2 linked regions of the Cricetulus griseus genome follow. The protein of the gene in region 1 interacts with the protein of each later gene in a pairwise test. Links are inferred from orthologs where the notes say so. Each region holds a gene or a part of one and is shown in the gene's direction. Other genes may lie near its edges.

Evidence for each region.
Region 2: the proteins of Tead4 (region 1) and Ccdc172 interact in binary tests that used the Homo sapiens proteins (3 or more experiments, as listed by UniProt). The two-hybrid records come from large-scale screens. The link is inferred for Cricetulus griseus from reciprocal best matches to the Homo sapiens genes TEAD4 and CCDC172.

The regions. Positions count from the first base shown.
Region 1 is NC_048601.1:18,130,388-18,134,755, forward strand, and holds the start of Tead4 (transcriptional enhancer factor TEF-3), read left to right. Parts: upstream 1-1,336; 5' UTR 1,337-1,339; coding exon 1,340-1,439; intron 1,440-4,368. UniProt on the Homo sapiens protein: Transcription factor which plays a key role in the Hippo signaling pathway, a pathway involved in organ size control and tumor suppression by restricting proliferation and promoting apoptosis.
Region 2 is NC_048596.1:2,889,277-2,893,764, reverse strand, and holds the start of Ccdc172 (coiled-coil domain-containing protein 172), read left to right. Parts: upstream 1-1,659; coding exon 1,660-1,738; intron 1,739-2,215; coding exon 2,216-2,301; intron 2,302-4,488.

The DNA.
Region 1 (4,368 bases):
GTGGATTGGATCTTATACCGTAGCCTACCCTGCTTTTGAACCTGTGGCAGCGCTCCTGCTTCAGCTTCCTCAGTGCTGGGGTTACCAACCTGCACCACTCATCACTATGTTGGTTAATTTTTTATTTTTTTTTCCAAGACAGGGTTTCTCTGCATGTAGCTTTGGCTTTCCTGGACCTCTCTTTGTAGACCAGGCTGGCCTTGAACTCACAGAGATCCACCTGCATCTGTCATCTGAATGTTGGGATTAAAGACATTTGCCACTAATGCCCAGCCAATTATTTATTTGTTTGTTTACTTATGAGACATGGTCTCACTCTGTATCTGTGGGTGACCTGGAACACACTACGTAGCCCCAGGCTGGCTTTGAACTTGTGATCTTCCTGCCTCTGCCTCCAGAGTGCTGGAATTACAGGTGTGAGTCAGCATGCGTTGCCTAATTTTCTTTCCTTTTGGAGATGAGGTCAGAGTAGGGCGGGCTCATAGCCCCTCCCTACCCTGCTCTTTGGATGTTTCCAGGGCCTTCTTGTCCTTGTGCTTTATAGTTTTTGTCATACCTGTGGGTGAGTGTGGACTGTGGCGTGGGCTCAGTCTCTCTACAGCCCAGTCTGGTAGGAATAGCCAGGGCTAGGTCATAGCCAGGAGCCATTGTACTAGGTGGGGCCAGGCCTGTCCTAAACAGTGTCTCTGTGGCCACAGCAGGATTAGATCAGGGCAGAGTATCTGGGGTTCAGATTTGTTATCTCTTTTCTGGGTCATCAAACCACATTGGGAGTTCTGCCAGCCTGGAGAATCCCTGTGCTGAAGGGGATTCCCAACTTGTCCCCACCGTGAATGACTGTAGCCACTGTGTCACCTCATATGTCCTTAGGTTAGGGTGGATCTCCCGGAAGGAAACCTCAGGTTTTCTTTTCCCTCCTAGCTTCAGTCACAGGTCGGTCACTGCAATGCAGAGGCTGTTCTAGTCACCAACCAATATCACAGCCCACAGGCAATGAGGGTGGTCTTGGTGAGACTGGACCTTTGACCTACACCTCCAAAGCTCTTAGAGTCAGTGCCTGGAGAGGGAACCGTTTCTGTCCTTGTGTTCAGAGTGGCCCGACTTCTTTCGTCATTTCTGTGTAACACCAGGCATGTCTTGTAAACATTTTGAGTTTCAATTTCTATCACGTCCTGTTTGGATTGGGGACCGTGGGAGTTGGTTACAGATGACATATTGACATCCCCATGAGTTATCTGCACAGACAGCTCCCAGTGTACGAAGGTCAACTTGTGATCTTTCTGTATTACAGTGTGGAAGTGATGCACATTCAGTAGAAATTTTACTGTTTTCCCAGCTAATGATAAACAGTATGTTTTTGCCGTGTGGGGCAGCAGCAGTGAGCCAGAGTGCCCAACCAGCCACATGGTCATGGGGTTGCCAGCATTGCTTTGACGCAGGTAATTAAAAGTATATTTCATGGGATATACAGAGCCATAGTGTAAAAGTATGTCGGCAGAGTGCACAGGCGCAAGCCTTTCATTTAGCCAGCCGTTGGGCATCAAGGCAAGAAGATCATTATGCGTTTGAGGCCAGCCTGATCTACATAGAGAGTTTTAGGCTAGCCAGGGCTACACAGTGAAACCCTAATGTCAGTACTCTAGTTTAAAAAACAGCATATCCCATTGAAGGACTGGAGAGGTGGCTCAGCAGTTAAGAGCACTGGCCGCTCTTGCCGAGGGTCTGGGTTCAGTTCCTGACACCCACATGGCAGCTCACAACCACCTGTTATTCTGGTTCTGTGGCTCCACCATCCTTTTCTGACCTTTGCAGGGACCGGACACACATGTTATACACATACCATACATCCAGGCATAACACTGCTAGACATAACATAAAATCTGAGAAAAATGTTTTATGTCAGTAACTACCAGGGAAATAGAAATTAAAACTGCTTTGAGAGTGCGTCTCACCCCACTCAGAAAGGCTGTCATCCAAAAGTCAGAGGACTGTAGGTGCTGGTGAGGGTGTGGACATGGGAACGGCTCTTCACTGTTGGTAGAAGCGGAGCTTGTCGCAGCCACTGTGGAAGTCAGTATGAAGGTTACTGAAATGCTCTCAATCTCATGATCCTCCTGCCTCAGCGTCTGGAATCTCAGATACAGGCATGCATCACCTTTCCCTTCTGCATTAGGGTATTATTAACTGACTAGTAAGTTTACCAGAATGGTATCCCATTGTATGTGGAAGAACATCTCTGTTGTGAAATAGTAGTGTTATTTGTCCTGGCCTGAAACAAAGGGAGCCTTTGGCAGCGTCAACTCATTAACGGTAATGCTGCCTGCCTGCCTGCGTTCCTACCTGCACCCATCCAGCAACAGGACAGACACTAATGTCTGGGTGATAATCGTGTTCTCCAGTTGGGGGAACAGGCAAGCTCAAGTGAGACAGCCTAGGCCCAGCCTGTCACAGCAACATTGTGTACTGTGTGCTTTGGTGGCTGGGGGAGTGAGGTTGTGTGGGAGATGGACCAGACACCGAGAGGTCTCAGGGTCCGAGGGCTGGGCTGGCAAATGTTCTACGGCACAGCTGCAACCCCAGCCCCCAGCAGTCGGATTTGGTTGCCTTCTCAGTCAAGCCACACTCCTCTCTACCCAAACGGTGCCCCGCAGCCGTGGCTTCTCTGTGAATCACTTGCGGATCTTCACTCTTCTGTTTCTGGAAGAGCGTAGGGTTCTGAGCCTTAGGAAGATCCAGACACAATCCCAGTTCCTGAATCTTCTCAAATGTCCCCTACGGCCAGCACCTGTGGGCCTTGGTGTAGAGTGCAGTGTTCTTTGGGCCTGGTTGTCTCAAGTAGGACATCTGGTGGCTTTTGGGTGGGGCAGAGAGAGCTAGAAGCCTCCAGGCTGGGCCTGAGAGCCAAGTCAGGGATTATTTTTATATCTCTGGCCATAGCACATGGTCTGGGCAGCGGTGCCATCTGTTTCCCACCCCACCACTCCCCTGGAGGGTCACTTGGGGGAGGAGCAGGAGGAACATCTCTGAGCTGAGGCTGACTTACCCCATTTTTCTGGCCACAGGGCAGGCTTGTGTGGGCAGTTTGCCTAGTAAGGAAGGGTAGGAGTGGCCAGCCAGTCACGACCAGGGACCAGGAGCACCACAGCCACACAGGGCCAGGGACAGCTCACTGCAGTAATGAATCCCATGTCCTAGGGCCTTGTGTGACCTGCTGCCCCACTTTCTCTGGGACAGTCCCAATCTTGGGAACATGGAGTGCAGGTCCTCAGAAAACCTCTCCCATGGGGCAGTCTGGCACAGATGGTCTCTAGTTCGCCCAGGCCTGTTCTTCTGGGCTGTCTTGGTCCCAACTTTGCAGTGTAGGGAAGGGCAATGTTGAAGAGAGGCAGGGCCCAAAGACTACCTCCTCTGGCACGTGGTGGGGGTGGGGCCATCATGAAAGGTGATACGGGGCTAGCCCTCCTCTTCATGTTGCCCTAGGCCCAGCTCAGAGTGTATGAGCTGTGCTTATGTTAGGCCCACGGAGAAAATGAAGTCCAACACCAAAATTAATGGGGCATTATGCATTAGAAGGTTAATTAATCACTGTCAGATATTAATCTTCATCTTTAGGGCTGCCAGGCCTGTTGAAGAGTTCAGATTTTGCACCCCAAGTTTGGAGCTTAAGAGCTGAACAGCCTGTATCTGTTAGACAACAGCCCTCCCTCCCCCAACCCCTGGCAACCTTCATGGCACCTTATCTGTAAGAATGTGCATCACCTTCTATGTGTGTACCCGTACTCACTGTCTTTTTTTCTGTGACTGGCTTGTTTTACTTAATATAATATCAGCGCCCATCCATGTCACAGCCTGTGATAGGGTTACCTTCCTTTTTAGTGCTAATAGCAGTCCATCGTATACCCACACCTCATTCTGTACTCATGGAGGGATGAAAGCAGGAACTCTCCTTTTTTTGGCTGTTGTGAATAGCGCTGCTATGAACATTCGTGTACAGATGTCTTTTGGAGTTCCTGCTTTCAGTTCTTTTGGGTGTGTGCCAAGAAGCAGGATTAGTGGATCACACTATTATTATTATTATTATTATTATTATTATTATTATTATTGGTTTTTCGAGACAGGGTTTCACTGTGTAGCTTTCGAGGCTGTCCTGGCACTCGCTCTGGAGACCAGGCTGGCCTCGAACTCACAGAGATCCCCCTGCCTCTGCTGGGATTAAAGACGTGCACCACCAATGCCCGACCAGGATCACATTATTATTATTATTATTATTATTATTATTATTTATTGGTAGTGCTAAAGATAGAACTACTCAAGCATGCTCAATAAACCCTCTGTCAGTGGGCTCCATCCCCTGACCTTCACTTTAAT
Region 2 (4,488 bases), on another chromosome or scaffold:
TGAAAACCAGCCTTTCTGTGAGGCTGGCTCCTCACAGACCACCAGGGAGAACTCTGAATGGAACAGTGTGAATGAGGGATGTGCTCTACCTCCAGGAGTTCTTTCCTTTGCTGACCACTGTGACACGAGGGTGCTCAGAGAAAATGGCCCAGACCATAATCTGTGTCATCTTCCAAGAGATGGTAAGTTCGCTATGCTTGTGAGGCAATAAGAAAATTACAGCTGAACCCAGCCCTGAATTCACGGCTCCCAATCCCCGACTTCTTGGTTTCAGTTGCTCTCTGTCCTCGCTTGGTACACGACTGTGGCCATGTCACCTTGGTCTCATTGCTGCAGTCCTAAGTAACAGAGACAGGATGCTTGTCTTAAATTAAGGATCTATATACATCAAGATTTCAGCTGGCGACTGAACGAAATTGTTCACTGAGCTCACTTTTTGTTGGGATATTCTGTGTCTGTCTCCTTGACTGCATTAGCGAAGGAACGGCAAGACTCATCTGACATAGACTCAGCCCAGAAACAGAGTGCTAGGCAGGTAAATAATTTTATTATATGATTATATAATAATTACCAAAAGTAACACTTACTCCTTGTTTATGAGACTCCAGCGTTGTCAATAAAGCACGCTTGGCGGAGGGTTACCCGGGGACAGGGAGACTTTTCACCAGCATTTGCTTTGCATAGTTCTGAGTGAGTCTCTTGCACTTCACTGTAGTTTCAGCCAGCGCTCTGCGAGTTTAAACATGAGATTCTATGCAGACTTAACGAGAATTAGGGTAGATTCATAACAGGTTAAAATGGATAACTGATTACACTGAGGCATTAATGGGTGTTAACTAAGCCTATGGTATGTGGCAAAAATCTGACTACACTGTATTTTGCTGAATTCCTGGCACATTCAAACAAGGTTTGACCCACCGACACCGCAAATAGAATGATAGATAGATAGATATAGATGGATGGATGGATAGACAGACACAGATACAGACAGATGTGGTGCAGAAGCCGGGCATGCGCCCTTCACGCGCAGCAACCCGCTGGTGTGAGGCGCACACTGCGGATCCGAAGCCTCGAAGCCTCGGTGTCACCACCACCGGGGCCTCATTACCGAGGGCGGGGATTAGTGTCAGGCCGGGAGCTGTGCCCTGATTGCAGAGGAGGATGGAGGTCGAGCCCCTGCTCGCCCGGTAACACTCTGCAGAGCTCATGCTTCCAACCGCGGGCTCCGCACTGTGTAACACCTGTGACCCGCCCGCCGCACCTCGGAGCGAGCGCAGAACGGCTGCGGATGGGCCCACCCGGCTCCCGTAGCTACGTCCTCGCGAGGCCAGCACGAGGCCGCGGTTAAGTTCCCGCTCCTCACCGTGGCGTCTGCTCCTGGAGCGGAGGGCGAGCTGCGCGGAGCCCGGGCGAGCAAGAGTTTTTCAGTGTGAGCTGCGCCCGCCACGGAGGCCACGGAGGCCGGGGAGGCCACGGAGGCCGGGGAGAACCTTCTAGAGCATGGGGGAGACGAGCCCCACCCCGCCCCGCCCCGCTGGCCCCGCCCCGCTGCTCCCCCGCGGGTGGACGAGCATGGGGCGAGCATGGGTGCTGCGAGCACACCCATCAAGCTGGGCCCCCTCCCGCCTCCCCCCTGTGCTTCCCAGGATCTGGATAAAGATGAGTCTGGAGTCGCTGTTCCAGCAGATCCTCTTCACAGAGCACCAGGCCGAGGAGAGCCGCAGGGCGCTGCGGGGAGGTCAGGGCCACCCGGGGAGGGGAGAGGGAGGAGAGGGAGGGGAGAGGGGAGGGGAGGGAGAGAGAGGGGAGAGGGAGGGAGGGGAGAGGGGGAGGGAGAGGGGAGGGGTAGAGAGAGGGAAGGAGAGAAAGGGAGAGGAGGGAAAGGGGAGGGAGAGGAGGGGAGGTCAGGGCAGCCCGGGGAGGGGAAGAGGGGAGAGGAGGGGGAGGGAAAGGGGAGGGAGGAGAGAGAGAGGGGAGGAGGGAGGGAGGGAGGGAGGGGAGAGGAGGAGGACAGGGAGGGGTGAGAGGGGAGGGAGACAAAGGGGAGGGAAAGGAGGGGAGGTCAGGGCGGGGGGGGGGAGGAGGAAAAGGGAGGGGAGAAGAGGGAGAGGGAAGAGAGAGAAGGGAGAGGAGGGAAAGGGGAGGGGAGAGGAGGGGAGAGGAGCCCGAGACTCGAGACTCAGGTGAGTGCAAGTAAAGGTTTGCCTGTGTCCAGTGAGGTCAGAAATTACCAGATGTCGTGGGAAAATCAAGAAAGCGACTGAGGATCTGAAGGAAGAGAAACTGAAGTTGGAATCCAAGGTAGGGATGCCTAGACCGAGCTAGCTGTTGCGTGGGGAGGGATCTGACTGGCTTTTCGGAAAACTCCACTGTCCGGCTACCAGGAAGCTCCAGGATTATATATTGTGTTGTCCAGAGTTTAAAGTTCTGAAACCAATAATGTCTTCAGATATTAATAGGAAGTGGCCCCAAGGAAGCCAGCCTTAAATAAGGAACCCCATTGTGTGGGGTGGTTAATGTAAAGGAACACAATGTCATGGGAAGAATAATTGTCCAATAAGCACTTAGTGCAGCATATAAATTTTAAATGCTAAATAATTTAAGTGTGCTCTGCGGGTGTAATAACAGATCGTGTGTATCTTCGGTGGGCCTCGGCTTTCTCACTTTCTAGTCATTACCACATTTTTGGACAGGTCTCATCCAAAAGTGTCCTCCTGCTCTCATCTCTCTCTTTTGCACTGGTAAAGTTCTGGGTTTTAATAAATAGAACCAAGGGAGTCTCATAGCTTCAAGAAAGATTTTGAACTGTCGGTAGAATTTTGGAGAAGCAAAGAGATGTCGTAGGAGAAACCGTTTGTAGCCAAGGGAGGGAGCAGATCTGCCCCAGGCACATTGAGACCCCAGCAGAGGACTGGTGTGTACAGTAGGAGGAGAATGTGGCCAAGATGTGACCGGGGAGGGGCAATAAAAGTGCTTTTAGGAGGCCCTTTGCACTCTGATCCCAAAGATGGGAGACAGGTGTGAAGATGCTGAGGCCACATGGGAGGCCTCACTCTGAGCAGGAGCACACAGGGGTCCAAGAACCTGTTTCAACACCTAAGATGAACTAAGCAAGCAGTGTGCATAGGTAGTCTGTTTACATAATTACTCTGTTTTTGTCTATAACATGGTCTGTTTTTTGTATATTAAATATAAACTTATACGTAAATAAATTATAAATTATTACTCTATTTAGCTTACATTTGTGAAGAAGTTTCAGTTTTCCCTGGATCAACACATACTGGTATTTGCAGCCCCTGTTGCTTTGAGAGGATCATACTTAGACCTTTTTCTTATCCACCTTTATTCTCCTTGTGTTGGTTGCTTAGCAAACATTGCATGTGAGTGTGTTCACTACTAAGAGTGTGATCTATAACAAAGAAGGAGCTGTCTTAATTTGACAAGTAAAACTTGTACATGTTTATGGGTTCCATGTGTTTTTATATGCATTTTATAATGCTCAAATCCAGGTTAATGTATCTGTGGCAACAGTTATTCTGACTTTGTGGTGAAAATATTACATATCTTTTAATTTTTTAGTATAGGTTACTTGCGTCAGTCACCCTGCTGTGCAGTAGAATACCAGCATTTATGCCTCCTGACTATGAGTACGCGCCAGCCAGTCTTTCCTTTCCCCCCTTACACGCCAGACGGTCTTTCCTTCCCCCCTTACACACCAGCCAGTCTTTCCTTTCCCCCCCTTCCAACTAAAAGAGACGGGCTGTCTTTGAAAACATAACTTGGGGCTGTTATTCATTCATTGAGCCCCTGCGCTCTTATTTTCCTATAGTAAGAGAGAAAGTAGCCCCTAGTGACAGTGCCGAAAGCTGCCAAGGCTGGGCAAGCTGTGAGCAGTGTCATGATGTAGCTGTCTTCCCTTGAAGAAGAGTTATGATGATTTGAAAGTTGGCAAATGGAAGCCAACAGAAGAAAGGTCCAGAGAGAGAGAGAGAGAGATAGACACAGACGGACAAACAGACAGACAGACAGACAGACAGACAGACACAGACATTGCCACCTCCACACTTGGCAGCTAACAGTGCTCATGTGCCTGGCACTATTCAAAGGTGACATTACTCCTTTAGTTCTAACAGGAACTCTGTGTGGAGGAGCCAGCATTCCCATTTTGCAGGTGAAGAAGTTGAGAGTTTAAATGGCTTGTCCGTGGTATATACTATAAAACCAAATAACTACCATAATAAAAGTAACAATTACGGAGAACATAACTCTATTAAAACAGAATCTCAAGCTCATCTTGAACATTCTTTCATGACATACAGTAATGTGTCTGAAGCTTTGTGTCTGGGGCAGTATTCTTTAAAGGTCACTTAGTAAGCTTTTGTATAAAGTACATTTCTCTGGGATTGGTGACATACTGACCTGACAGCAGGTAGTAAGTGTTTTTTTGTTTTTGGTTTTTGGTTTTTCAAGACAGGGTTTCTCTGTGAC